Elephas maximus indicus: one gene and its partner. The protein of the gene in region 1 interacts with the protein of each later gene in a pairwise test. Links are inferred from orthologs where the notes say so. Each region holds a gene or a part of one and is shown on either strand. Other genes may lie near its edges.

Region 1 (3,751 bases):
CTGAATATTGCACCAGAAAATTACTTCAGCCTGGATTTCTAAGATAATTTATCACCAATTTCTGAGAACGATAAAAAAGGATGCCCCGCATCATTTCATCAACTATCTTGTCCATCTTCACTTAGAACCCGTCTTCATTGGCCAAATAGTGAAGCAAAGGATGGAGGAGGTCAGCATCCTTCAGTGGGTGCCTGCTATGTTACCAGGTTGGATGCTTCAATTTTCTAATCTCAGTGAAAAAGAACAAACTTTGAAGAGAGCAAACTTCCTTCAGGGAACTGAAACCTCCACATTTATCTTCTAATAAAAGGATTAGTGACTCACTTCTGCTGATCGAAAGGGCATTAGGCACCAATGCATCCAATTCACTCTCTTATTATTGTATTGCTGTGGTCTTGTCCAGTCTCTGAAAGCTCAGGGCTAAATTGTCATTCTGGGCTTGTAAGAAAGTAAGCAAACCATTGTTTGCATAGTTATGGACTTTAAAGTAAAGGAATGTTATTTTTCTCCAGAGAATTTGTTTAAGGAAGCTTGAGTTTTTGTTAACACAAACGTAGATCCTTATAGACTGGTGTCTTAACCTTCAAGATTGAATAGTGATGTTTATATTCTCGTTGGATGGAGGCACTTCCTGTGTTTTATGAGAACATACTGAGCTTTTATGTTGGTAACTCAGGGTAAAACCCAGGTAAATAAACAGTGGAGGGCTGAAATTGGAGGCGGGAGACTTCCAGCAGGAAAGCACAATTCTTTTAAGGCAGGAAAAGAAAAAACAAAACAAATGCCTCTTAAAAGCACAAATGGACAAGTCATTAACCAGCTCCTTTGGTCTGTGTCACAAATCCCTTCAAAGGATTAGCCAGGGACTTCAAAGGAATAAAAATTCTCAAAACCAGACAACTAATGAATCTTTAAAGGGCATTAGCGTTAATGGGAAAATGGTATCTTAAACCACATTTTTCTCCCCATGTTAACACCAAGGAATGGGTTGGGAGTGTAGGTTCGAAGTGGGAAACACTCGAAACCAGTAAAAGGTTCAGAAAACAGATGCGACAAATACTCATTAGAGCCCTGGTTCCCTGACTCCAAACCCGTTTAAAACTACAGTGCAAACCCTGAGACTCCTCTCTCCAGAAAAATTCACCTATACACAAAATGGTGCACTGACTTTTAAGGGGTGGGGGTTACATGAACCCAGATTAACTCTGGATTTGGCGGCTCTAGAAGCCTCGAGGCCAGGGCGTGCTCCTAGGTGGGCGCTCAAACCCCTCACCCGAGGTCCAGCGGCACTGCTAGCCGCCACTCCGCCTGCGGACTGGAAAGGGCTGTCGGGGATCCCGGACACCTCCACTTGGAATGTCCCTCTTTTCAGGATCAAAAGGACAAAGAGAAAAGCAGCTGGGAGCGGACAAGAGGGGAGAAGGGAACAGAACCGAGCCCTGCACGATCTCCGAACAGCATCTGCGCCCCTCTGAGCTCCCCCCTGGGCCTAACCCTGTGCAAACTTTCCAGCTCGCGGCCGCTTCAGAGAGCGTCCCAGGCAGCCGGAGGGGTACAAGGAGGTGCCGAGCCAGTCCCCTCTCCCTGCTGCTCTCTGCCCAGTCCCTCTTGCAGGGTCCCCGGGGCTACCCCGTGAGAAAAAGAGAGCCCTGCTCAAGGCAGAGAGAGCCAAGGGCACGCTGCGGGCGCGCACCTGGAGCCCCCTCGCGGGCTCTTCTCACCACCCTGCCGCCCCGGAGCTCGAGGCCGTGGACACCACGGGTGGCGGGGGCAGGAGCGCCACACTTACTCAGACGGGTCCAGGCTCTTCCTCTCGATGGCCGAGGACATTGGGGAGGGAGGCGGCGTGCCGGGTGGCGGGGGCACTCCCTTTGTGGCGCGGGGCTGGCCGGCTACCGGGACTCGGACCCCCTCGGGTGCTCGGACGCCGCTGCCGCTGCCGCCGCCGCCGCCGCTCCTGCGCCTTCTCTTGCTCCGGCGCTCCGGAGGCGAGCTCGCCCCTCCGCGCTCAAGGACAGTCACCGCGCTCCCTTCAAACGCCAAAGAGAGAGAGCGAATCACCGGGCTGCGGGCGCGCCACGGCCGAGGATGGGGCCGGGGCGCGCAGCCTGGCCCTGGGCGGCTGAAGCAGCAGCTGCTGCTCAGGACTTAACCTTCCATCCCGGTCCCGCCGCCGCCGCCGCCGCCGCCGCCGCCGCCGCCTCCCGGTCCCGCTCGCGCGCTGTCGCCGGCTTCGCGCCGCCCGCGGGGATCGTGCGCGCCGCCCGGTGCCCGGTGCCCCTCGCACCTTCGGCCCGGGTCGCGGCGCGCAGCTCGCCGCCGAGAGCGGGGCGGGGGGGGAGGGGGTCGGGCAGGGGGCTGTGCGTCTCCCCCCCGGACTCCCTCCTTGCTCGGGAAGGTCTATTTTCGCTCAGCTTCCCTCTGTCTCTGGTTTCATTTCCTTTTTCCTGATCACGATTCAAATACAATAGAAGGAAATCACATTTAAAGAGACAGCTGCCCGCCCCCCCCTTCTTCTTCTTCTTCTTCTTTTTTTTAAACAGGGCTCCAGGGGATTAGCAATACAAACAGCAGCAGCCTCAGGACTGACTTGGCTTCTTAAAGGGGCAAGCATAGGGGATCGGAAGAGTCACTTCGGAAACACCTCTCCTTGGAAAGGAGACCCGGCTGCCTCGAAATCCTTCCTTAGGGCACCCACTCTTTCACGTTCCCCTTCTGGCTTAACTGAAACTAAAGTAACCAGTGGGCCGCTCAAGGAAGAAATAAAAGACAAATGTGTGAAATAAGCACATACAGAAACGCCAGCTTTCGGAGTGGCTTTCGCGCCTGTCGGGGGTTCGAGGTCCCAGGTCCACTGACGCCGGGCGCCGGGATGCCTGGGACAGTGCGGCTCTGCTGGCTGCCGGCTGGGGACTGCGTCCACGCTCCAGATATGCAACTCGAGCTGTGCAAGCAGGGACCGCACGGGCTGGGTACGTCTGAGCGTGCCAGGGGTAGCTAATCCCGGAGGGAGGGACTACGCTGGTCCAGGTCTCCTCTCCATCTGCCGGCGGTAGAATTTTCTCCCTCAGCATCTTTCAAAAGGCGACTGAGGCGGACGCCTGCGGTTTAACTGGCCCCGTGCAAAGTGTCAGTAAGTAATCTGTACAGAGAAAGCGCTTTTCCAATGACCAAGAGCAATAGGGAGCTCATTTTGTCCAGGATCAGTGAAGGGGAAAGAAGCCAGATTTGATGCTGGGGTTAGTTCAGGTCTCCCCCCAACCTTTAAGGCAAAGTCTAGGAAGAGTGAGGAATGCAGAAGGAGACAGGAGGACCAACAGAGTCTGCCCTCTGTAGAGAACAAATTTGGTTCCCCTGGGCCTCAAACTTCCTTGGAAATGTCTGCCTTCAAAGCGATTAAAGACCTATTTGTGCATGAAGTGATGATGTCAGCCATAACCCCAAAACACCCAAACCAGTTGGGGTGGAGTAGATTCTGACTCATGGTGACCCCATGTGTTGTAGGGTAGAACTGGCTCCATAGGGTTTTCAAGGTTGTGACCTTTCAGAAGCAGATCACCCCGCCTTTCTTCCAAGGTGCCTCTGAGTGTGTTTGAACCACCAACCTTTTTAGGTTAGTAGTCGAGTGCTTAATTGTTTGCACCACCCAGGACTCCTGTGCCAGTCATAAGTCTTGTAAAAAAGGAAACTATCAAGTACTTTCAGAATCCATAATTTTATTTGAACAGTCTTACTCATGGTCATAGGCATT
Region 2 (3,751 bases), on another chromosome or scaffold:
GCTTCCTGGTCATGCTTGGGTACCTGAGATGGGAAAGAAAAAGGGCCCCAATGGGCAACATTTATGAAAGAGGCCTGGGGATATCACAGGTCCTGCCAAGAACCAGATTTTTGGAATTCATTTCCTCATTTTCCTCTTGATAAGAGAAGAAAATGTGGCAAAAGGAAGGACAGAGTAAGAACAATACCCTTCAGCCTTTTTCTCCCTGGCTGTTTTGAAGCATCCAGTTTCAAAGGTATTTTATCTGGATACCCCCATTACTTCTTTTACAACCAACTCTTTCTAATTGCTCAGAATCCTATACAACATACAATATAGGTTTGAGTACATACATGAATAAAGATAGGTATTTAGCCAATAACCCATTGCTGTCAAGTCGATTCCGACTCATAGTGACCCTATAGGCCAGAGTAGAACTTCCCCATAGCGTTTCCAAGGAGCTGCTGGTGGACTCGAATTGCCAATCTTTTGATTAGCAGCCGATTTCTTAATCACCAAGCTGCCAGGGATCCATTTAGCCAACAGGAATTGAATATAAATCAACAGTGTATTATGGATTCTTAAGGAAAAAAAAAAAAAAGGCTGTGATCCTAGGTTTCATTAATAAAGTAGTATTTGAAATAAAGAAGATGATAGCACAGCTCTCCTCTTAGCTGGCAGATCTCACCTGGAGGATCAGGCCCCTCTCTGTAAGAGGTAAAATATTCAGAGTGATCCACAGTAGAGGAAGATGAATAAGATGATGAAGGTTCTTGAGATCATGTCATATGAAGAACAAAACTGGACATGTTTAGCCTGAAGAAGAAAAGACAAGGAGCAGGTGAAGATGACCATTTGGCATGGATGCTGTAGAAGATATTCTAGCATCTGTGAGGTTGGATTGGATGATCTTTCCACCCCTAGGAGGGTTATTTATCATTATATATCACTGAGTCTTAATTATTCATTTTTACCTCTTGGAGGCATGGGCTTTGATTTACATGCATCAATGTGAATATTAATGATGCATCAGCAAACAAGAACAAAGTCCAGTACCTGATATTTGGGTGTTCTTGGCTCAGTACTATCAGTCTGTTGCCTGCTCCCTGGCCTCAGTTCCCATGGCACCTTGCAGTTTCCCCAAAGAGCAGTAAATATCCCTACCTCTACCCCCTTGCAAGAGCATTCTCAGTACCTTAAATTCCCTCCCCACGCTCCTGTCTACTTCTGTCTAGAGAAGCTCAAATCTTCCTTTTCCATGAAGCCATCCAGGCCATCCCAGAACTCTTTGAGCCCTCCCCTCCCTGAACTCTTGTGGCCCTTGGTGGTAGAGCAAGGTTGTTAGGAGAATTACGTAAGTTCATATTTGTAAATCCCTTAAAACAGTGCCTGATACATAGTAACCATTTTAAAAGCATTTGTTAAATAATTATAATAAAATCATAAATATAAATAAAAATGACTTATAGGGTATTTGAACATTCTTGGGAGTAGAGAGGATATCTTACTATTCTCTAACCAAGCCTGCTATCAACCTTTGGTTCTTGGTGACTTTGCTCTTTTGTTTTAACCTTCACTGGGTACCTACTCTGTGCCAAGGCCTATGAGGGCCTGTGCTATGAGCTGGGATTATGGACATGCTCGGATAGGGTCCTTGTCCTCAAGTTTATTGTATAGTCTTGTGGAGGAGGCTACACAAACATAAACACATAAAATCACAGCACAAATTCCCACACCCAAAGTGCCAAATCCAGAACAACTCTTGGTGACTAGAGGAAGGTATAAAAGAATCATGCTGGGACTAAAATGATCTTGACAATGGCATCAACCTTTTCCCTAAGTTCTGCCTCCCTTTACTTTTATCTGGGTTTTTATGAGGATGTGGGCTTGTGGATAAACGCCCTTCATATCTAAGTTATATAAGGCACCACGTAGAATCCCAGAAATTCAATAGGTGCCACCCAGCCCCTCCCAAATGCCAGCTTCCTTCACACCTGTTGCTTCCTGCCACCTTGCAGGAAGGAATTGGAGGGTTAGGAATTTGTATGCATGGTGGGAAAAGGTGGGCCCATTTTATTTGAAATTAACTTAAAGAAATGATTTGTTGAGACTCCAGTGAATTGTGAGAAAGCAGGTCTTTTTCTAATTTAAAACACTAGCAACTCCTGTCTCTCAACTGTTCTCTATTCCACTGGTTCTCAGCTTTGGCTGCTCATAGGAATCACGCAGGCTGCACTCCAGACCAATTAAATAAAAATCTCTGGGGCATCGGTAGTTTTTAAAACATCCCAGGTGTATCCATTGGATCCTCCAGGAAGTAGAAAATGGGCTGGAGTTGGGTGTACAAGTGGTTTACTGAGGGGTAGGGCCTGTAAAAGGGAAGCAGGATTGGTGAGAAAGAGCCTCAGCCTGAGATACGGTCAACCCACCAGGGAGCTCTGAGGCAAATATGCCTGTCAGAGGAAACCCTATTGGGCAGAAAGTTCTTGGTGTTCCTGCCAAGCTCAGTCATTGGCTGGAGGCTGCTTGGGAAGAGCGGAGGCGGATCCTGAAGGTGCAGCAGCTGGAGGCTGAAGAAACTTCCCTCCTTGCAGCTGAAGGGCAAGTTCTTTCTTGAAGCGAGATCCAAGCAGCGTCCTCCACGGCTGACATGCCAAGTGAGCTCAGTGTGTGGCCAAAGTTGAAAACCACCACTCTGCTCTCCAAATGGGGAAACTCTTATCCTTAGGAAAACCGTTTTTTTTAAGAAACCAGGATACTCACATACAAGAGACCTACCATCATGGAGGAAGTTACAGGGGAGCACAGATCAGGGGAAAGCCCACTCTCTCCCAGAAGGCTTGTTCTAGTAGCAGCACCAGTCACCAACCAGTCTTCAGGCTCTGCATAAGCCACTTCACCATCCTGACCCTCGGAGTCCTCTGCTCTAAAATGGGTGTAATGAAACCATTCTCTCCTCACAGGGTTGTTGTAAGAATTAAATGAAACACTGAATGTGAAAGCACTCTTTAAACTATACAGTAAGGAAAATAAGAGTGGACAGTACATGTGCTTTGTGCCAGGTACCATTTTCATGTATTAACTTATATACGTATGCAGATAGCGGTGGTTGTAATAACACCACTGTAAACATTGCTGGCAATGGCTCAGGGATGCAGACTTGTTCAAAAAGTCATTTCACTGCATAGTATGCTGGTATCATTATCCTCTGGTAGGAACCAAATGATAATCCCAGTTAACTGGAACAATTCACTCTGTTACCCTCAAGCCTTGAATCTATAGGGGTCTTTATAGAATTTAGCCATTAGTGGAGGCATCACATTGTGGTTATAAAAAAAAAAAAAAAAAAAACAGGCTGTGGAGCCAGCACCCTGGGTTTGGCTTGTGGCTCTACTCCTCCTAGCTGTGTAACCTTGAGCGATCTGCTTAACCTCTCTGTGCTTCAATTGCCTCATAAGTAAAGGGAGACTCAGGATACTACCTTGCTGTATTATTGATACAGGAAATGGTACACATACAGCACCTTAGAGCAGCATCTGGCACACTCCCAGTTTGACCAATAGTCCAATTACAACAAGATACACTCCAAACTTTGGTATCAACGCTTGCTGAGGGCCTACTCTGTGCCAGATATTGTGCTGGCTGCTGGGGATACTGACGAACAGGACACAGGGTCAGCCCCCGAGGACTTTGTTGCTATGTGAGACTCAAGAGGGAAGCATAGGGGCAGTAAGAGCAGAGAAACCTAACCCTGGCATTCTGAGGAAGTTCC

What was found.
Region 2: the proteins of LMO2 (region 1) and TAL2 interact in a two-hybrid assay, tested with the Homo sapiens proteins (2 studies listed by BioGRID and IntAct). The link is inferred for Elephas maximus indicus from reciprocal best matches to the Homo sapiens genes LMO2 and TAL2.

Annotation. Positions count from the first base shown.
Region 1 is NC_064825.1:89,122,024-89,125,774, forward strand, and holds the start of LMO2 (rhombotin-2), read right to left. Parts: upstream 2,282-3,751; 5' UTR 2,161-2,281; coding exon 2,154-2,160; intron 2,031-2,153; coding exon 1,790-2,030; intron 1-1,789. UniProt on the Homo sapiens protein: Acts with TAL1/SCL to regulate red blood cell development. Also acts with LDB1 to maintain erythroid precursors in an immature state.
Region 2 is NC_064827.1:55,199,421-55,203,171, reverse strand, and holds the start of TAL2 (T-cell acute lymphocytic leukemia protein 2), read right to left. Parts: upstream 2,786-3,751; 5' UTR 2,758-2,785; intron 796-2,757; 5' UTR 668-795; intron 24-667; 5' UTR 14-23; coding exon 1-13.